3 linked regions of the Drosophila melanogaster genome follow. The gene in region 1 interacts genetically with each later gene. Each region holds a gene or a part of one and is shown in the gene's direction. Other genes may lie near its edges.

What was found.
Region 2: of eyg (region 1) and Su(H), changing one suppresses a phenotype caused by changing the other (phenotypic suppression), as found in Drosophila melanogaster (one study listed by BioGRID).
Region 3: of eyg (region 1) and fng, changing one suppresses a phenotype caused by changing the other (phenotypic suppression), as found in Drosophila melanogaster (one study listed by BioGRID).

Annotation. Positions count from the first base shown.
Region 1 is NT_037436.4:12,461,470-12,470,789, reverse strand, and holds eyg (eyegone), read left to right. Parts: upstream 1-2,768; 5' UTR 2,769-3,171; coding exon 3,172-3,304; intron 3,305-4,625; coding exon 4,626-4,946; intron 4,947-5,626; coding exon 5,627-5,767; intron 5,768-5,892; coding exon 5,893-6,476; intron 6,477-6,687; coding exon 6,688-7,521; 3' UTR 7,522-8,253; downstream 8,254-9,320. Other genes in the region: CG32102 (uncharacterized protein), read left to right, coding at 1,367-1,633.
Region 2 is NT_033779.5:15,037,133-15,044,676, forward strand, and holds Su(H) (suppressor of hairless), read left to right. Parts: upstream 1-2,355; 5' UTR 2,356-2,804; coding exon 2,805-3,188; intron 3,189-3,962; coding exon 3,963-4,843; intron 4,844-4,901; coding exon 4,902-5,109; intron 5,110-5,174; coding exon 5,175-5,486; 3' UTR 5,487-6,202; downstream 6,203-7,544. Other genes in the region: yellow-c, read left to right, coding at 1-596; CIAPIN1 (cytokine induced apoptosis inhibitor 1), read right to left, coding at 740-853, 922-1,418, 1,508-1,643. UniProt on the Drosophila melanogaster protein: Transcriptional regulator that plays a central role in Notch signaling, a signaling pathway involved in cell-cell communication that regulates a broad spectrum of cell-fate determinations.
Region 3 is NT_037436.4:20,945,974-20,952,011, reverse strand, and holds the start of fng (fringe), read left to right. Parts: upstream 1-2,499; 5' UTR 2,500-2,710; coding exon 2,711-2,842; intron 2,843-6,038. UniProt on the Drosophila melanogaster protein: Glycosyltransferase involved in the elongation of O-linked ligands to activate Notch signaling. Possesses fucose-specific beta-1,3-N-acetylglucosaminyltransferase activity; extends the O-linked fucose on the Notch EGF repeats.

The DNA of each region.
Region 1 (9,320 bases):
ATCAGCTGCCGTGGGGCGATTACGCACGACGTCTGGCCGAAGAGCGGACCCCATGAGTACGGATCCGTGCCACCCAAATGGTCAAGTGGCCGGTGGACTATGGCGCGAACGGACGCGATCGGTAATCGAATTAGGTAAACAAACACTCCATAAGGCGGGCGTACGTTGATAATGTGTGCATAAGCAAATAGGAGACCGTATTGGGATTGGAATTGGGATTGGGATTGGGGCTGGAACTCTGCGCTGGACGGATGGATTGGATGGACTGCGATGGATGGGGAGATCTCGAGGAGCGGGTTGCGATTGCGGCGGCGATGACGGGCGAAAAAAAACTAAATGAAATTTCATTTAGGTGGTCGCCAACGGCTGCGGACCATCTGCTTGTGTGAATGCTTGATTGTTGAAGTGCCACTTGATGGGGCGAGGGCGCACGCTACTCGCGGGGATTACACTGGCCAAAATTGGGATCAAATGGTTACGAAATATGTATATACCATATATAACACTATTCCATAGAGACCATTGATTCAACTCTTTAAATATTGCTATAGATCTTGAGTAAACTAGTAAAAAAAAATCGTAAAAAATATTTTTAAAAATTTCAGACTTTAATTAAGAACTCTTACTGTCAAGTTAAGACAAAAAAATGTTGTAAGAAGATAATTCTGTTACTTTAAATTATCCCAGAAAACAATGGAATGAAAAATATCTCAGTGCTGAAAGGTTTCTTTGGTTGCTGAGCAATATGGGTCACCGGTTTACGCAATTTCTTACCGTGCAGCGATCGGTATCCAGATATTATTTACTTAGTAAATTATTCCTGTTCGATTGTTTGCGTTTGCTCTGGATCTCTGGCATGAGGGCACTCGAACGTCATCGTCAGCAGCGTTTCATTCATGATTCGCCTTTCACAAATCGAAGAAACATATATGCACGAGTGTTCGGTGCATTGTGCACTTTGCATTCGAACAGACAAATAAATACAAAGGCAGTTCTGATCAGCTTAGTGAGACATCTCATTATCGCCAGGTGATTCTGCTGAACCATATCGTTTCGCATCCAGATTTCTGCACTCGCTCCTCTTTCCACCCGATCCCATCCCATCCCAACTGATCTCATCCCATCTCATTCCATTGGGGAATCATTTCAGGTAATTGCTTTTTAACTCGACTCTCAGCTTTCAGCTTTCATCTTTCAGCTTCCAATTCGAATCCTGCATCGCCGGGAGCCACTCAATCCGTGGGCTTTGATGCAATTTGGCTTCTGTGCAGGCCACTCTGCCACTTGGTGTAGCCCGTTTCTGCCCCGTTCTGTTCTGAGAGTTGCGAGCTGCGAGCTGTGATCTGTGTGGCTCCCCGATCACGCCATGTGTAGTTTAGTTGCAGTTTCGATTCACATCGGATTGCCTTGCCCAGGCAGCACATCAATCATCCATCACGCACCAAAGGCCGGGAGACAACGACCCAAAACGGGCAGTGCAAACCTGAATGGCAAACGGCCCATGCCACGCATGCGATTTATACGTGTCCAAGGTTCACTCTGGATCGCAATGGATGCAATTTGGCCACTTCACTGCACATTTGACCGGATTAAAATTCCTTTCAAATGGCTATATGCTACTAAGCTCTTTTAAATTGCAGGCATTTTAGTTATTGTTATTTAGCGATCATTTTATGTTATCTTTCAATGCAATAAACGATTTAGTTTGTTTAAAAAGGACTTTCAGGCTTAAATCTTCTTTTAATAAGTTTATGTTTAAAAATCGAGTTTTAATTGCAATTGGTCAGTTTAAAAGCGGAATAGTAGTTATGAAGTCCACAAAAAGGAAGCAATTTAATGCTTTTCTGTTTTATTATAATGCTAATGTTTATATTTTGCTGAGGTATTATTTACCAATTATTTATATATATTTTTTTGTCTTTCTCCTGAGTAGAATCAAATAAAAAGTAAAACAAACATACCATACTGCCATTTTATTGATACAATATTACAGCTATTTTAATAATTTCGAAATAAAATATTTTATTATTATTATTTATTTTAGAAGTGTAAGCAAAAAGCCAAACTTCTTTTCAGTCTTTAGCCTTAATTGTTAGAGATTATACATATGCATGAACTTTTGTAAATGTAGCTCATTTGTACACAGATCGATATGATAATCAAGAGTTGGTATTTGAAAGTGCCTACTTATTGGGGCCATGGTCTCTGGCTTAAAGTAACGATAAATTGAATGCATTACTCAACAGTAAAGATTACGAACTAAATGTTCCTAAATGGTACAATTTAAGCTGTACGGTTAATTCAATCAATTAGAATATTACATTAGGCGAGAAATGCACCTAAAGGTTGACTTCAAACGTGCTATGGTATCCCAACTACATTTGTAGTTAAAATTAAAGGGTTCCCCAACTCCTCTTTCTCTTCTTATTCTGGTTCTTCTTCTTGTCACTTCCCCAAAGCGTTCGCTCTCTCTCACACTCACTGCTCTTCATTCGTCTGCTTCTTCTTCTTCTTCTTGCCACTGTTTATACTCAGCACTTTACCAACAACGAGTTTATAATTGTTTGATTTGTGTGCGCGCATAGTGTGCATGTGGTTGTCCCGCTCTCGCGCAGAAGAGCGAGAGAGCAAGAGTTTGCCTCAACGGGCGCCATTATGAAAGTACGGTACTCGTAAACCGGTTGGCGTTTCGAAAAGCACTCAAAAGCGGAGTGAAACTGTTCGAGTGGAGCGGAGTGACCCGGGTGACCAGGTGAAATTCAAGCGCTCATTGTGCTGAGAGCAGCTTTCGCGTGAACAACGTTTCAACGGAGCGCAGTGTTCGCAAGAAATTCGATAAAAACAAATTCTATAATAAAAATAAGAGCAAGAGATACGCAGGAGCGTTTTCTAACTGTTTCTGTCGGGATCGACTGTCGTGCATTTGTCACTGTGTGTGTATCTGTGTGCGTGTGTATGCGAGTGTGTGAGTGAGCAGCACGCTATGAATCCAATTGACCGCATTGCGTTTCCATTTCCGTTTCCGGTTGCATTCGCTATAATCGATACCTCTGCCTTGGATGTGCGACACTTGTGACTGTGATTGTGTTATACCCAAATAAAATTAATAAAATAAACAAATATAAAATAACAATAAATAATAAAGAGAATTGGAAAGAGCGATTCTTAGACATGTTGATTGAGCCGACTTTAAACCGTGACCTTGGCTCGCTTACTGTCGCTAATTCTGGCCTCTCGGCCGCGCACTGGAAAATGGAGCCCCATCCCCAACGCATCACATCGCTGGCCCCTCACGCTTCCAGTGGTAAGTGCCCCAAAGTGCCCATGTGAAGTCTTGCCGACGGCAAAGCCAGGCTTGGGGATTTTAAGAAAATATACACAAATCTTCAAAAAATAAATCCGAAACTGGGTCAAAGGTGTAATATGTCATTCGATAGCAAATCCGGAATGTTCGAATTTTAATTTAAACAAATTAGTTCTTTCGCGATAAAACCTAAAATCTATTATTGAAATTATGTATAACTAATAACTAAGCATCGTTTAAATTAGTGTGTTAAAACGGTGTTTCGGTTAAAGTATTAAATAAAGTATCAAACTGGGTCAAATGTGTTTATGTGTAATTCTTAACCAGATCCATTTAGTTTGAATATAGTTGGTGTTAACTTTTCGCTGTAAAACAAACAATTTTTTATTTAAATGGTATATGGTAGATAAATTATGTAAATTATCAAATTGATCATACAAAGGTCTATGTAAAACTAACTTTGAGTGCCTTTTTATTTTCTTAAACAGAAGATAAAATAAGTGTGATCCTTTATAATATTTCTAGTTTAAACAATGTGGGCCATTTATAAGAAAGCGATTAAAATTTGTCATGTTCGTACTTAGTATGTTCATAACAAATGTTTTATGTTATTCCAACTTAAATCTTCAGTTAAAACAAACACAAATCGTTACGCATGTCACATTACCAATTGCGTGGCTCATTTGACAGTCCCATTTCCTTGCTTTTCACCTTTAAATAGACCGAAATAAACAAAACTGGTTCTCATTTGATGGGCGGCACAATTGATTATGGGCCCATATACTTACATATATGTATATTCAGTTAGGCACGACTGGAGGTGCGCGTATTTTTTTAAAAATATTTACTTGACAAACAACAAAAGTGAAACGCGCATTTAAAACGCTAATTGACAATTTGAGCGACGAGTTGCCCAAGCCGAATGATATATGTAGGTTTTTTAAGCGAAGGCAAATATAATATTCTGTCGAATTAACGTAATACACAGTTGTTTTTCTACTTGTTTTTTGCTTTCTTTTCGTATCCAGCTGAGTACATATTTTAATTTTCGCCTTTTGTACTAAGAGATCATTGTCGTATCAATTAGCTTGATAAATCTGCTCGTGCCTGGAAGATTCGATTGCGTGTCGCCACCATTTTGGCCATTCGATCAGCTTAGACATTTGCTGGGGTAATAGAAACGCTAATATATTCGTAGGACCCATCAGTCATTTCGGTTCGGTCAACACAATTAACGCTTAATTTATCATAATTAACCATTGTGGCCGCGACAGCTAAAGCCACAATAAAATAACAATACCCAATTATCATTCAATTGCAGTAGCGGCGGCATCCGTGGCAGCAGCAGCAGCAGCAGCAGCGGCAGCGGCAGCAGCGGCGGCCGGAGCGGGATCGGGAGCGGTAGCCGGTGGCGGAGGGGCCACATCCACATCACCCACATCTGTGCAAATACCACCCGGCTTTGGCGGCGGCGGCTCCACTGGCGGCATTCCGCACGGTGCAGGTGGACCCACGGGGAGCACATTGAACACCCTGATGTCACAGCATCGCCTCCTGGAATTCTCACGTTTCGGTGGACTGCGTGGCTATGACATTGCCCAGCACATGCTAACCCAGCAGGGAGCTGTCTCCAAGTTGCTAGGTGAGTTGTGAGCCCTTGAAAGGGACGACCGCTCAGTTTCTCAGTTCCTTCCCTCATCAGATAACTAATGGGTACTTTGTTTTCGATTTGTTTGCTAATTTTTATGATAAACATGTTATTATCCTGCGAGTTGCCCCTACCATCCCCTGCGTGGCGTATCCCTCGTGTGCGCAGCCGTGTAATTTGGCCACTTAAAATTGCATAAACTCCTGACTGGCGGTGGCCAAAACGCGGCTGGCTCATTAATCAAAATGCGGCTTATTCACGAGCGGGTATTCCTTGGTGGTAGTGTTGGTTGGTGCGTGCTGCCGTGCACTGAAAGAAAAAAATGCTTAATTCCAAATAAGGATATGTGATCACATTTATTCCATGTTTAGAATTTTTTAAGTCTTTTAAACCCGTCATTACAGTAACTTTAAGTAGTTAAAATCACTCATTTTTAAGTTTTCCAATTCTTGAGCTGCTCTGGTTTCTACCAGTGTATTTGCCAAGGCTTGTATTGTTTTCCCATTCATATTTTCCATACATCACATGTTGATGAAACGAGCAGATAAAGATATTAGCAACCAGGGTTAATCCTTGCTGCCAGCCAAAAACAGATGGATTGCCAAAACCAGGCTGGCAAAGTCATAAATCCATTGTCTCATAATTTAACTGGAATTGTGCTCTGATTCTTGCAGGCTCGCTGCGACCACCGGGCTTAATTGGTGGCTCAAAGCCCAAGGTGGCCACGCCGACGGTCGTCTCCAAGATCGAACAGTACAAGCGCGAGAATCCAACGATCTTCGCCTGGGAGATACGAGAACGCCTGATTTCGGAGGGTGAGTGTTCCACATAATTGCAGCTAATCCGCGGACGCAGATTGAACGCTGATTGATCGGCGGTCGCTTTTAGCTTTTGATCTCGATCTTCGACTGCTCGGTAATTGCGTAATCCCGCCTTGCAGGTGTCTGCACTAATGCCACCGCTCCATCGGTGAGCAGCATCAATCGCATCCTGCGCAATCGAGCCGCCGAGCGGGTGGCCACCGAGTTTGCTCGCACCGCCGCCTATGGCCTGTACCCGCCACCCCCTCATCCGTACGGTAGCTTCACCTGGCATCCGGCCGGCAATGTGCCCGGCGGCCAGGGGGTACCACCACCGCCACCTCCATCCGCCCTGTGGTCCGTTGCCGCTCCCACGCTCGCCAATCTGCCTCCGAGTGCAGCGAGCGCTGTGCCCGTCTCCACTTGTGGCTCCCTCAGTTCGGCGCACTTGATGGCCGGCGGAGCAGGTGGCACACCAACCAATCGGGCCATCTCCCCTGGCTCTGGCAGCCATGATACCTTGGAATCAGCGGATGAGAACCGGCACATAGACTCCGATTATCTGGATGACGATGATGAGCCCAAGTTCAGGCGGAATCGGACCACCTTCAGTCCGGAGCAGTTGGAGGAGCTGGAGAAGGAGTTCGACAAGAGTCATTATCCTTGTGTGAGCACCAGGGAGCGGTTGTCCAGTCGCACCAGCTTGAGCGAGGCAAGAGTTCAGGTGAGTCAGGTGAAAACAAAGGCTTCACTCAAAACTTTCAAAAAGCAAGATTAAAAGTGGCTAGTAAAGTAGTTACATACCATTTGATTTAAATTAATGAGTAAATCAATACTTTTATATCAGAAATTAGAGTTACCTCTTTCAAAGCCAATTAACCAAAACCTCAAATAACTAATCTTTATTAAATATCATTTATTTCTACCCTTTCCAGGTGTGGTTCTCCAATCGCCGGGCTAAATGGCGTCGCCACCAACGCATGAATCTCCTGAAGCGTCAGCGCTCCAGTCCCGCCAATCCGCTGCACTCGCAGCAGTCGAACGATGCACCGGCCAGTTCGCCCACGCCCAGTAACCACAGCAGTGCCTCCACCTCCGCTCCAGTGGCTCCCGTGCCGCCACCTCAGCAGCCGTTGCCCCTGTGCGGTGACCACTCGCCACAGGGTCCGCCACCTTCGGTGCTGTTACACCCACTGCATGGTCCTCCGGGCGGCCACCATCACCATCATCCTCTGCACCTACCCACGCATCCAGCTGCCCTCCAGCTGCTCAGCCACTACCACCAGCAGCAGCAACAGCAACAACAGCAGCAGCATCAGCAGCAGCAGCAGCAACATCATCAACAACAACAGCAACTCTCACCCAGTGGATGCAATCCGGCGGCGAATCACCTCTCCATGGGCGGGGAGCGTAGTGCCTTCAGGAGTCTGGTGAGCTCGCCCTCGGCGGCTGCCTTCCTGGGATTGGCCAGGCAATATGCCGTGGCTGCATCATTAACGGTCGCCGAGGAGCAGCGCTCCAGATTGCACTACTCCGCAGGTGGTTTGGGGAGCGGTGGTGAGGGCACGGGACCCAATACCAACACCACTCAATCTGGCGGCTCAACCATGACGGTGGACAACTCGTCATCGGACTCGGATGAGGAGATCAACGTGCACGACGATTCCGATGGTGAAATTGAGTCGTCGGCGGCAACGGCGGCAAAGGTGGCTCGCCTGTCATCCTCCGATGCGCCGGCCACGTTGCAATTCCTAAAGCATGACCGCTAGATGGGCGACATGGGCGACAAGGGCCACCTGGTCTAGATGGGCGGCGGCAAAGTCTAATTGAAAACCTGAGTTGTGCGCGCCTCTGTGATTGACAGTGGCAACAAAAACAAAAGCAGCAAAAGCAACAGCAACTACTGATGCAATTGCAATTGCATTTGAAATTGCAACTGGTGGACTGAAATACGAGAAGCGACTACACACACAGTGGGCAAACAAATCGAAAAACCAAAGTTAAAATGCTGCTCACCTACTTGGCTGCGGTTCGGGGTCGCTAGAAAAAAGAAAAAAAAAACTAAATAAAAATAGAAAAAAGTAAACAGAAAAATGTAGCAGAAAGCAGCAGCAACAACATAATGGGCGGCTTAAGATTAGCTGAAATTGTAACTAATACCCGATACGAACACGCTTGTCCCACTTGAAATGCACATGCCCATTGTATACCCTATAGTTATGCATAATTATACTATAATACTTGTTCATTCGCCGGCTGCCGACTTACCTCATCACCATTTAAGGCTATAGCATATGCAATATCTAACTATATGTAACTTTAAACTTTAAAATAGTCCTAAGCCAAATCTATTTATGAATGCGTATTGTTTAAGGATTTGATTCTTGAGTTGGTTGCGTTTGAACTGATATTTAGTGCGTAGACTAAGTGTTTTTGGCTCAAATAAAAGAAAAAAACTAAAATGGTCAACCGCTGAGTGAGAAACCAATAAAAAGTGCAAGAAATAATGAAGAATCGTTTACTTTCTTTCGGCAATAAACAAACAGAAATATATGACCAGGAAATCGGTTTGTATAGACTCGCTTTGGTTTGACAACAAATACAATTTATACGTTCGATTTCACGCATAATTATCCATTCAAACACACTGGGCAACAAACAAACACACCAAACACGGCCGAAAAGCATAAATAAGCATTTAACAACACTCGAAAGCTTCTTAAAACGTTATTAAATATTAATACACCGAACGAAGACAGAACAAAAAGCCAAACGAAATCGAAATCAAAAAAAAAAAAAAAAAAAAAAAAAATCCAAATCCAAAATACGCGCATAGAAAACGCTTAAATTTCGAACGTAATGGCCAATATGTCCAAATCTGGCTGATAACATCGACATTTTAATTATAACCAAATGAAGCCGCGCGCACAAACACAGTGGGGACAGACTAAACGCGACGAGGAGATGAGAATGGATGGTATGGTTTGGTATCATATGGTATCGTATGGGGACCGATTAAAAATGCCGAACCAACTAAGCACATAAATCAATGTAAATTATGGTGTTAACAAAAGGCGAGCTTGCAGGCTTGGATTGGATCCGATCCGATCGGTTGGAATGGGATCGGTTTGGATCGTTGACTTTTGTAGGTTGGTTAACCGGGTGGATGCGCGTCTTTATTTCTGGCCTGGCCGAGATTTAAATGAGCTCCTCGCATCTGATAAGCGAAAGAGCGTGGAGCACCATTCGTGTCGATACTTACAGCTCCGAACGGAATCGGGATCGGGATTGGAAGTTGTGGACTAGGGGGTATTGGGGGATTTGAGAATTTTGGGCTCGGGAATGGTCATCGGGTGTCCACAAATTCAATTTGCTTGGGCTTTTATGAGCAAATGGCCCAGCCCCATCTCCATCGCCATACCACCAATCGACTTATTCTAATTTAGTGCGGAGCTCTGCTCGTGAGCATTCCTTTAATAAATTTAAATCACCTTCTATTGAAAATATTTTCACCTCGGGCCCATAAATTATACATTATACGATATTTATACAGTCTGCGCCACGTCTG
Region 2 (7,544 bases), on another chromosome or scaffold:
CCCTGAGGAACGACAAATCCTACCGCGTCAAGCACAACTTCTTCCACTTCGATCCTCTGCATGGTGATTTCAATGTGGGCGGCGTGAACTTCCAGTGGACGGATGGCGTTTTTGGGCTGGCCGTGGGCCCAATGAATCCAGATCACTCCAAGGACATTTATTTCCATGCCCTGGCCAGTACCAAGGAGTTCAAGGTTTCGAACCGCGTGCTGCAAAACGAATCACACGTGACCGCTGGCGATTCGTATTACGATTTTAAATACGTTGGTGACCGTGGCATGAATGGCCAGTCCACCGCCGAGGTCTTTGACCCCGAGACCGGCGTCATCTTCTATACGCAGGTGAACAAAGACGCCATTGCTTGTTGGAACATCAAGCGTCCATACACTCCGGACACCCAGGGGCTAATCGATTCCGATTCGCACACTCTGGTCTTTCCAAATGACATGAAAATCGACAATGAAGGCACTATTTGGGTGCTGTCCGACAAGATGCCGACATATTTGTACAAGGAACTCGATCCCTCGGCCGTCAACTATCGTATTTTGATGGGCCAGAACCGCGATCTCATCAAGGGTACACCATGCGAAATGTGATCACTTGGATATTTAAATCTACATGCTGTGTTTATGACGCGGTGCATTTTTGTATTTACATTATGACATTATTGTTTGTTAGTAAGTCAGCTTAATAAACTATTTGAAATGTGATTGATTGGGTATACCATGGTGAGCCTAAGTTAAATGTCGGATTTCAGGAGGTTGTCGGCCAGTTGCACCTTCTCACCGGGCTTAAAGGCGGGCATGCCCAAATAGGGGCAAGTGGAGCAGCGGAAGGCGTCGCCGAGATAACACTGTGCATATAAGAAATCAGTTATAATCGAGGTTAATGCTAACTCACATCGGGGTTAAGAGAACTCACATTTCCACAGCTTGACTTGGCATTCTCGGTGGCCTTCTGGCTCTGTTTTTCAGTCTCCAATTCCTCGGCCAGCCCGCAGGAGCAGTTTTTGCACGCCTTGCGCTTGCCCGTGGTGCTACAGACACGCAGACCAGCCGGATCCGGCTTCTGTTTGTCTTCCTCGTCCAGCAGCTCCTCCTCATCGATCAGTTCCTCATCGTCACCGCTTATCTTCCACACATTGACTGCACTGGCGTTCTTCTTTGCGAATGACAACCTGGCTGAGGATCCTGTCTCGTAGCCAGGCTTCTCGGCGGTCAAAGCATCTGGAGAGTCCTCGCGACAGTTTATGAATCCGGATAGCTTGATCTCCTGCAGCAAACTAGCCGCCGGACCGATGTAGGACACCAAATGCAGTTTGCCACTCGGTTTCAGCATGTGCAGCAGTTTTACGTAACTGTCGGTCAGCTGGGCGCACTCGATCACAATCAGGTCGAAACTGGAGTTGGCATAGGAAGCTGTAATGCATAAACATCACTGATTTTAATCTGCTGACTCACTGGCTAGTCAAAAACAGCACACACACACCGCACCGCACGCAACTTACAAAACGAAAGGCGGTGCACATTTTCCAAAGCCACATCGCCGCCAGTGGCCGCCTTTAGTTGCTCCACGCGCTTGTCCAAGTCGGCGCTGTCCGTCCATATGTATAGGGATTTTTGTAGACCCTTAAAGTTCTCCATTGTGGATGTGTTTCTAGAATATCTCAAAAGTTCAAGCACCGAACGGAACCGATTTTTGATTTCACAAGTTAGATATGGCAATGCACCGAAAATCGAGCGGTGATATCGATTGTACCTGCCTATCGGATTGCAAATGATATTCAGTGATTGTAGATTTTTCCACTTTACACTGTGACTGCTAAAATATATGAATAACTAAGTGTACTCCACCAGATTCGTTTTTTAATGAGTTACAGCTTACATTCTGATACATAATTAACAGCTTTTAGTTGCATATTGTGTGTTTCTGCCACTAAACCTATTTAAACGGTTACATTTAAGCCTAAAGTCGCGAATTATCTTTTAAATTCACCCATGTGTACTTTCCCACGGCCCGTTTTAAAAATGCATGGACAGTTAGACAAGAAGGTTGGTAGTTTGTACCTTGAATTTTAAATGTGGGCGCTCAAAATCGAAGTGTTCAATGAAAATCGATACCTTTCGCATCAGTTAAAAGTATTTATAGATATAAGAAATAATATCTTTAACAGTGATGTGATGGGAATAAATATACAAATGTATTCAGAAACTGCAAAGTTAAAACAAAATATATTAGCTACTCCAAATTGGCTATAAAATAACCAAATGCCCACTGCCATCCAAATCCAACCAACAGTGCTGTGAAGCGACAAACATATCGCCGGTAGGCAGCGACTATCATAAATAAGCGCCTATCGGACTATCGATACAACATCAACATCCTCAGTCGCTTTTTTAGTTGTAGCATATTATAAATATAACTCGAGCGCTAGTTGCAGCCTTAAACAGAAGCCAGCCGCCACTACCGCTAGTCGCTAGTCAAGATCTGCTCGAAACGCTGAAATATGTGTGATTAGTCGTGAATCGCAGCTAGCCGCAAATCCAGCTTGAGCTACAACAACAAAGCCAATCCGCGGTTAAGAGGAAGAGAGTGCGTGAGAGAAACGACAGCTGCTCTGCGTGTGTGTTTGTGCAGCAGGATAACAAAATAGAAAACATACAGCAGCAACAACAACAACAAAAACAGCACCAGCGAACAGTGTATAAAGTGCCAAACGAATTTGCCAAATAGCCAAAAACGAAATAATAGAAAAGATCCAAACAAAATTCCAATAAGTTCAATGCAAGGAGACATGTGCATAAATGAAGAGCTACAGCCAATTTAATTTAAACGCCGCCGCCCCGCCCGCCATTGCCTACGAAACTACGGTTGTAAATCCCAACGGCTCACCCCTCGATCCTCACCAGCAGCAGCAACAACAGAGCCAGGATATGCCGCACTTTGGACTGCCCGGTCCGCAGCCGCCGTCGTCGCAGCAGCAGCAACAACAATTGCAAGTGCACCACCAACAGCAGCAGCAGCAGCAACAACAACAACAACAACAGCAGCATCAACAACAAATGCAGATGTCCTTGCTGCCGGGTCCTTACCGGCCACACATCGAGGAGAAGAAGCTCACGCGGGACGCCATGGAGAAGTACATGCGCGAGCGCAACGACATGGTCATCGTTATCCTGCACGCCAAGGTACGAAAGGATTTCCACTTTTAAGCCGGTATTATCAGGTGCTTGGTCTGGATTTAGTATTCAAGATATTCTAAAACATACAAGGGAACTCCTGAGTCTTAAGTCTTAATTAAATTATTTGAAGCTTGAAATACATTATTTCAATATTACTAAAAATATATTAACCCAAACTGGAGAAACGTAGGATATCCTAACTTTCATTTAAATTAGAAACTTGGTCAGTTTTGTACGTCGATTTCCTAAATTATTCGATTTTTTAGATTAAATAGATTAAATTCAGATTTTCTTTCTATTTCAAGTTTAACGATGTATCCTTTCTTTGAAAATTACTTGTATGCTTTACAAGATATTTATTTTTTTTTTATAATTTAGTTTTAATCTAATCGGTCAGTCCGCAACGCCAAAACCACACCCACTATTTAAAGGTGCTAGTGTTTCCATTGTCCACTTTAAAGTGTTACATTTTTGCGGTTTTTGGCGAACGCAGACATGAAAATGGAATAAAATTGTCGCGGTTGCTTTTAGCGGTGGCGATCTTCAAGCGACGACTGCCGCCAAATGGGAATCCTTCACACTCGACTGCCCGCAAATTGAGCAACGCGAGCGCGGTCCAGTCCGCAATGAAAATAATTGAAATTAATTACAGAAAATTAACAAAGCTGCATTGCTTGCGGTTTTGATATGATTTTCCGATAATCTGGACGGCAATTTGTACTAATTGAATTTTCCCTGCACCATCGTGCGCCTCTGTCTGTCTGTCTGTGTGAATTCCAGGTGGCCCAAAAGTCCTATGGCAATGAGAAGCGATTCTTTTGCCCACCGCCGTGCATTTATCTGTTCGGAAGTGGCTGGCGCCGGCGGTACGAGGAGATGTTGCAGCAGGGCGAGGGCGAACAGGGAGCACAACTATGCGCGTTCATCGGTATCGGGAGCAGTGACCAGGATATGCAGCAGCTGGATCTCAATGGCAAGCAGTACTGTGCGGCCAAGACGCTCTTCATCTCGGACTCGGACAAGCGAAAACACTTTATGCTGTCGGTGAAGATGTTTTACGGAAACGGTCATGACATTGGCGTTTTTAACTCGAAACGGATCAAGGTTATATCCAAGCCGTCCAAAAAGAAACAGTCGCTAAAGAATGCCGATCTGTGCATAGCCAGCGGCACCAATGTAGCCCTGTTCAATCGCCTGCGTTCCCAGACTGTCTCCACCCGTTACCTTCACGTGGAGAACGGACACTTTCATGCGTCGTCAACACAATGGGGAGCTTTTACGATACACCTGCTGGATGACAATGAGTCCGAGTCGGAGGAGTTTCAGGTGCGCGATGGTTACATTCATTACGGAGCCACAGTCAAACTGGTGTGCTCCGTAACGGGCATGGCCCTGCCACGTCTGATCATCCGGAAGGTAGACAAGCAGATGGCCCTGCTGGAAGCCGACGATCCCGTTTCTCAGCTGCACAAATGCGCCTTCTACATGAAGGATACGGATCGGATGTATCTCTGTTTGTCGCAGGAGAAAATCATACAGTTCCAGGCCACGCCGTGCCCCAAGGAGCCGAACAAGGAGATGATCAATGACGGCGCCTGCTGGACCATCATATCCACCGACAAGGCTGAGTACCAGTTCTACGAGGGCATGGGTCCTGTGGCGTAAGTATAGCTTACTTACAACTCAATGGATTAGTTTTCATTTCGTGTTTTCTTCCAGTTCTCCAGTCACTCCAGTGCCAATCGTTAATTCCCTTAATCTCAATGGCGGCGGGGATGTGGCCATGCTAGAGCTGAGTGGCGACAACTTTACGCCGCATCTGCAGGTGTGGTTTGGCGATGTGGAGGCGGAAACCATGTACCGCTGCACAGAGACATTGCTATGCGTGGTGCCGGAGATTTCACAATTTCGAGGCGAATGGCTTTGGGTAGGTTTTCCAATGTAAATCTGTTTAATACGCGCTATAAATTTTACTTTTAATGGTCCTTGCAGGTACGTCAGCCCACGCAGGTGCCCATTTCGCTGGTGCGCAACGATGGAATAATTTATGCCACCGGTCTGACCTTCACGTATACACCTGAACCAGGTCCTCGGCCGCACTGCAATACACAGGCCGAGGATGTGATGCGAGCGCGACAGAACAATAACAATAATAACATCACTAGCATTAGCAACAATAATAACAGCAACAATGCGGGATCGCCGGCAGCCGGCGGTGGCTTGCAACAACAACAGCAGCAGCATCAGGCTCTGCCCTCCATCTCAGAAGTGCAATGGAATAGTCATGGTAGCGGCTTATCCTGAGTGCAGGATTATTGCATCGCACACATATGTATCCTAAGTTATTTATAGTTTTTATCGAAGACCTTAGTTTGTAGATTGACAATTTTTCTCATACTAATTTTCAACCCCTCGTGACGTAAACCAAAATGTGTCCCCTTCTCTCTAAAGTGAATCATACTTTACACATGTATCTAGTGCTAGTTCGGAACCAATAGAATTGTAAATGACACATAAAACTCTGTACATAACTCGAAAAGCTCACTGACATACATACATACATTTGTATGTGCATGAATATACCTTTACACAAAACATGTAATTCTAGTTAAATATACAATTGATGTAAGTTTATAGACGATTTTTAGATGCGGTTGAAATATTTATGATTTTCTTTGCTATGAATTTCCAAAGATCTAAATGAAAAAAAAAAATACTGCGAAATGCATCGGAAATTTTTATTATACACAAGCCAGTAGCCACGCTACAAAAACATTCCATTTCCCTCTTTAGCTTTCTAAAAAGTCGAAGACAAAGTCAAAAAGGGAAAAATTTGTTTCTGTACATACAGTTTTGTTGCATTTTTTTATTAACTTTGGAAATTCGTAGCATTAAAAATCCCAATAAAATATTTTGTAAAATAAAATCGCAACAAGACAAAACAGCGATTTATTTAAGTGTAAGCGAAATGCCTAACATAAATAAAAAAAAGAAATCCCAAATGATGACAAAGAATAATCAAATCATGTCAGCTTATGTTTTTGGTTTAGCGTGATTCTTCTGGTTCACCATTTTTCCTGTGGCCTAAGGTGGAGCGCTGGGGAGGATTGGTTGCCTTAAATTGCTGTGGGAATATTACCCAGTATCGTGTGAATATTTTTAAACAAAACAAGTGCAGCTCTTCCCACGATGGTTTGCCTCAACCCCCTCGGACGGGCCGACTTTAATTATAGTTTGGTCTGGAATTGCTGAACGCGAAGCTAAGAAGCAAATATACATAGATATATAACACTATTGTTTCCGTTTTGGCCAAGTTAAGGAGCAGAATATTCTCACAGCCCAAAAAGCCGCTGCCGAGCTGCTGTGAGAATTTTTACTGCCTTTGTTGAATATTTATGCATTCGTTGCTGCTGCTGTCTTTACAGATTTACAAATTAAGATTCGCAGTTTTGAATTAATTATCGCTCACTTCCGCTCGACGGAATCAGAAGGTGAGCGCTGGCCAAGCATTTAATCTCATCTTGCACTTGGGAGACATATTTCTTATCAGAGTCAGCCAATAGGAACTTGGCTGCAACCCCTAAGATTTTACTGCACCGGGCGATGGGAACGAAAGACTTAAACAACGAACTTTGGTTGCGTGAGGAATCAAACTACTGGCGGCCGCCTGTGTTCATTATGATGGAAAAACCACCACCAAAAGTTCTGGCTCTGGCAATTGGAACTGCAACCTCTTAAGGTCGTCGCCGTCTTATAAGAAGCTGAATATGAAATTAGTTTGGAATTTTTAATGAACAATTCCTTCACATTTCCCCAGGCCCTCTTTCTCCACCACTGTTTGGATAGGCGAGTGCGATGATTGTGGTCGTTTTTAGAAAGGGGGAGACAGCAATTTCTAAAAGTTCTCAGGACTGCTACACAACCTCATACCGTCTACTAAAAAAGTTCATTATCTTGAAAAATCTAAGTCTACCTGCCGTCGTCTTTAGTCTTTAGCTTGCCGTGCCGACTGCTGCCGTTTTTCACACGCTGGGGAAAAATGGAAATTCTCGCAAAATACAATGCGTGGGAAATCGGTGGCGTGGGAGTCAGGCAAGAAAATCAAGGGAAACTATATAATCCAGTCCTATAAAAATTTGTATTCACAAGACTTTGGACACGTACTCCCTTCCATGCGCGGTAAATCCAAAGCCGTAGGTCAAGATTGGTAAATCGATGGCAAAATCGATCGGATTTTCAAAGTTTATAGGGGTCGGTCGTAACCGTTACTTCAACTTGTTTAGTTCCATTGTTGTTACTTAACAAAGATATTTATATAAGACTAATTATTTTATTTATTAATGACTTTAATGAACTATTAAC
Region 3 (6,038 bases), 8.5 Mb from region 1:
CCTGAAAGCACTCTCGTTCCTACCCTGCTCCATCCCCATCACCATTCGCATCCTCCGCTCCATCTGCGGCTCGCTTTGGCCTGGCGACACTCGTAACCGCAGGGCGACGGCGCAGCCCGTTTTCGATTAACGATGACCGTGGTTGAGGACCAAGACGAGGACGCGGATGGAGGCAACTTGAGCGTGTGCCAGCCGAGCGAAATTTTATCTGGATGCCCAGCCGATCAGTTGAGAAGCTAGAGCTAGGCTACACTGAAAAAAAGTGATTTCAAATTATTTTTAAAGGTGAAACCATTTCAGAAAACATTTTTGTTGTGCTGCAAGCTGCATGCGAAGTTGTATGGTATTTTCAAAAGTGTTATTGAACAATTATTTTTTAATTTTTATGGAGATCTTAAAATGGTTTGGGATGTGTAAGTCCGAGTTGAGCACTGAGTCCGTGGCAACGCCTTCGGTTTACATTTTACAATCCTAACAAGGTTAGGCCGCCCGATAAACGGAGCTGCACTCGTTTGGTTATAAGGCTAGGTTGTGATCTGGGCTTTTCAGCTGAAGTTGCAGTTGAAGATGCAGTTGAAGTTGCAGCCGAAGTTGGAGGCTGGGGATCGGAACTTGGAACAGGCAGCTTGCAGCTGGAGGTGGCACATGCCTAACCGGCAACCAAGCTGCTATGCAAACACACACACACACACACACTTATACGGAGCGGAATGGTGGCCATGGCTACGAACTGTACATACGGAATTGCACATTAAAAATGAGCAATGGGAGTGGGCGGAATACGGAGGAATGGGAAGTGGGTTCCGAGGGTTTCGTGGCAAGCGGGCGGCTGATTCCAGCCGAGCGATGTCTTTTTCTGTGGCAGAACAAGGTTGGAATGGCCTGCGTCGCCGCTACCACCGTCTCTGCACCGGTAGAAAAATCATACTGACATAATAATAAACTAATAAAAATAATTAAAACACTGTGAAGGCCAATTGATTTTGCTTGCTCATTTGGGTACACACAATGGCCACTTAAGTTAAACAGTTTTAAAGCCCCTGGGTAATTGTCGATGGTTCTAAATTTATGCTAAGCTTTTGTATTTAAAGGGCTCAGTCTTAAATAATCTAAAACATTAAACTATTAAGGGTTGGATAGATTTTTCAGCTGACACAAGGCGATAAAAGTTTACATTTTTATGCTGTTCTCTTACCGAATTAAATACGAATTCACTATTTTCTTGCAGTGCTCCGCCGACTCTGCTTAATGCAATTCAGGCGAAAGGCGCACAAAGGGACAGCGAACAAGATGCCGAGTTGCTGATTGTGCGGGCAGCGCAGTCGACGCGGGCAGAGGTGTCCGCAAAAGCTTTTGTCGCCGCCACAAACATGGAATATGACAAGCTGGTGAGGAGTAGGATGGGATTCGGATTGGGATGGAATGGGATCGAGCTGAATGGGCTGAGAGCAGCAAGAGGAGGAGGAACGGGAAGATACTGCTGGATGGTGCCTGGCATGCAAAGCATTGTCAAGTGGGGAGCAGGCCAAGTGCTACACAAAAACCGAGCGACAAAGAAACGTCGCAGAACGCTGCCGACGCACGTGAGATGTGGATGCATTTGATGCACGGAGCGAGAAAGGGATGTAGAAATTAGTAGTTTGAAATTATTGTAAAAGAATTCTTCTGTTTGTATTTTTTAGTTAAATTAATTACTTATCCATAAATACACTGTCTAACTATTTCTAAGCCACTTAAAGGTATAATATAATCTGAAAAGACCTCTCTATTTGAAATAAAATTTCAATGGTAAATAGAGGAGCGGCTCTTGAATGTTTAAATAAAGTTTAATGCTTGCACTTTTTGTTCCAAGTGCATGATTTAAGAGTGTGTAGGCTTCCCTGTGTGGGCAGGGTAGGGAAGCCAGGCGAAAGAGCGATGGAGAGAGCGAGAGACAATGGCGACAATAAAAATGCGATCGCACAACATGCTCCACAGATAAGTTAACGCAAAGTGACAACGTACAACTTTTAATGGAATTGTCGTCGCCGACGGTGGGCGGTGGGGCGTGGCAGGGTAGTCAGGAGGGGAGTGGGGGTATATATGACATAGCCAAGAAGTCACCGCATTTGGAGCGCTGCCAAGTCAGTTGAACTATGTTTACTTTAAGGATACGGCCGCCACCTGGAAAAGGGACCTTCAAAGGCTGCCTTACACGATTCCGAATCCCCGATTCCGATCAGAAGTGGGCTGAGTGGGGGTCGACACACGAGCACATGAAAATTGCCTTCGGCAGCTACTGTGGCACAAGCTAAAGAGAGAGGATGAGAGCGAGCGCGATCGAAGAGAGAGCGCCAGCTGCTCCCATTGGAGCAGCTAACGTTTCCAATTGGACCAGCTCAAAGGGAATTCTCTCTCTCTCTTTCTCTCTCGCTACTCTCACCGCTTACTGGTCTTTCTGGTTTTTGTTTTGTTTACGATTTTCGCTGGAAGAAGAGAAGAGTAGATCGCGCTACCACAATCAGTTGCTTTTCAAGCTTGCCACAAGCAAGACGTCAGTGCGCGCGTGCTGCGATATCGAAATCGAAATAAACTTAAAAGATATCGTAATTTCAGAAATCGAGCAGAATTCATACGATCCAGGAAAAGAACCAGCTAATATTGGAATATAAAACCTACCCAGTGATCAAATCGGCGGTGCTTCAATGTGCGCGTAGTGGTCCGTAACCGTATGATGAGCCTGACTGTGCTCTCGCCACCGCAACGTTTTAAGCGAATCCTGCAAGCCATGATGTTAGCCGTCGCCGTCGTCTATATGACCCTACTGCTCTACCAGAGCGCCTACGGATATCCGGGCATCCAAGTGAGTTGCGAGTTCGAGTGGGCGACATAATCCAGCTTGCGTGGGTGTTGTTAGCGCTGCGAAACTGTCAAACGTGTGTGCTCCGCACTGATCTGCATAAGTTGCAAAGCTGCAAAGGCCAGGCAATTTGCATTATCCCCCTTTGATTCCGATCCCGATCGACGTCGACTCGTGCACTTTCATAAATCAACGCCGGCGACTTGAGTTTTGCAGCTGCGGCTTTGGCCGTTAAAAAAACCTTTTACGCCCTTGCCTTGCATATAAAACAGTTTCGGTGCTTGGCTTTTTGCGCTTTTATACCCTAATAGGGGGTATCATAATTGAACACAAATTTCGGCGAGGAAGCGTTTTAAAAGGATATACCCTACGATTGGTGATTGGATGGGGATCGGTATCACGGGGAATTCATTTGGAACTAAGGACTTGATTGCTTTAGAAATTGTGCAGAAGTTTATGTAGAGGTAGTGCCTAGCTTAGTGGTTTGTTTCAAAAATGGAAATATGATCCTGAATTTATTTGTTTTTTTTTTTTACAATTAAGCTTATATTTGATTGATTTAAGGACAAGAGAATGTAATTCTGTTAAAGTTGATGTTCAAAGATCGGCTCGCATTATCGAGACATTATTAAAATCCTAAAATCATACCATTAGGCACTTGGAATATATTTTTGAAAATCACCAATACTTTCCAATTCCCACAAGAGTATTCCCAGTTTCGATTACCGAAGATCCAGTCAACCGTTCCTGAATTTCTTGGTTTGCCGTCGGCAGAGCGTCGCCAAAGCTTTCAGTTGCCTGATTCCAGGGCCTGTCAGGGTTCTGAGCCCTGTCTGCTCTGCCCATTTATTATTGTTCTCTTCTTACTCTTGATTTTTGCATAAATTTTTGTGTAATAAAATATTGTGTGCTAATATTACCAAGGTGTGCGCTGCGAGGGGGGATCTCATGGAGGTGAATCTCAATGGACTCGTCCAGTGGAAAACCTTGTCAGTTGCATCACAGATAACAAATAGTTGAGGTCCGTGGGAATGGCCTTAGTTAGCCTCCTATTGCATTGCAAACACTTTTTGGCAGGGTTTTATGCGAACAGGCTATTTTTAGAACCCTTGAAATTCGAACTATGTGTCCACCTTCTAGGATTATCATATTTTAAAAACTTTAAATGAAACGACGCCATAAGAAAATAGTGCACATATTTTTAATCAGTTGCATATACAGATTCCTCAAAGTTTTCTTCCAACATTTCTTTATATAGTTCGATTTTTGTTAAATGAACCCTACTGCTGTAGTTATACCTTCAACTGTTACAGCTCCCTAACTAAGGCTTACAAATTTCATAATATTAGTGATTCGAGCCGCTGGCAATAGAGTTAAGAGCTCATAATTGAATCAGCTGCAGCATCCTCAAAAATATCCATGTAATCCCCTTGCCCTTCACCACCTTCCGGCTTCTCAATTTGCAACTCAATTGCCCAACTTCGAGGCTTCGAGGCGAGTTTGTGGAGGCTCCCCTGTAATGTTTTCGCATGCTGCTGCTAGTGTAATTAAAAACTTTATGTTGTTTTAATTCGGACAATGCTGTTGACGTTGTGGCTCTTCCAGTTGCTCTACTCTTTTTTTTATTTTTGTGTTCTGGGGCTAACCGGAAACTTGGCAGGAATTAGTGCTACACACACATCGCACTACTAAATACTGAGCCGGATAAAAAACTGTCGACAACTGCTGTACTGTTGTTTGTCTTTTCAATTGAAGTTCTGTTCCATCGGAGGTCTGTGACTTGTCCCAGTTTAAAAACTGCATGCCGCGTACAATTTGCTTAATTCTTTTCGTACTTCGTATATGAGTGTTCTCTTTTTGTTCCTAAATGTTGCGCAAAAAGTGCTGCTTGTTGACTTGACATGACTTGGCTTGGCTCGATTCTTCGAACTGTTGAACAGCTAAACAGTCGACTGGACACATACTCGCGCTAAACTGGGCTTGGCATTCGCCTGATAAAGCAATAATTTCGAAATCGGGCGGGGGCGGGGCGGGGGTATTGTCATGGGGGTCTCCATCAGCCCCACAACCCTGCCTATCCAAGATTCCCAGTATCTGATGTCTCATGTCCAGTTGCAGCTCACGTCGCCAGGTCGCCAGGTTGGCATGTCGCGTGTTGCTGACGCATAAATCATAAATGAAACGAAATGAATAATAATCGTCAAACGATTTGCTTGTTTATGAATTTCTTTAAAGTGGCGCGCCAAATGGCCACCAGTCGCTGATTGATTTGAGTAGTTTGTTGTGGCTACACTGTGATCAGCTTACCGATGACACATCGATATGGATAGTAGATTACTTACGTGCATTTATGAACGTGCACAATATAGATTTTTTCTGTAATGACATCTAATTCTTCTTCTAAGATATCCGAATTTATTTTCCAGTATGGACTTTCAAATATTTTTGACGAGTGCATGGTAAATACATAATAACATTAACAAACTCCTAAGCTGAGGAGCATGCAAATCAGCTTGAGGAAAGCAACAGCCACAAGAAGCCTTCGAGGCAGCCCGAGAGACAAAGACCACGATGATGATGATGATGATGATGTGATTCCTGTTTTTGGCCAGGCCAAAAGCAGGTGCTTGCTCTTCACTTCCCATGGCCAACTTAATGCAGCTGGTTGCAGCTACCTTTCCGTGGCCCCTCGATCCACAAAGCCCTCCTTCTGCCCGCCGCTCACGTAATCAGCCCGAAAAAGTTGACGACATTAAGCCGCGGAAGGCGCCTGATAAAAGGAGTAGTATCTGCAGCTGGGCAACCGAGTAAAAGATACCCATATCTGGGTATCTGGGTATCTTTTGGTGGTCGCTTAATTGAGCCTGGATGCTCGGATGCCTGGCTGCTGAGCTGCTGCTGTTGTTGTTGTTGTTGTTGTTGTGTGTATCTTATCTTAGATTCGTATCTTACGGATAATATTGTTAAACAGCATTTAATGAAGATTTTCCCGCTCGCCCAGCTGGAGGCGAACGAACGGTTCTGATTGCATTTTTTCGGGAATGCCTTTGATTTGTTCGATTTCGCTGATTTATGCTTTCCGTTATGGCGACCAGAGTTTAACTCAATTAATCTTCCCAAAGGTCGCCTGAGAGGGGTAGATTCCATTTGGCGCCCTTTCATATTATTCACTCGCACCTCTTCGCTCGATTCTTATGGT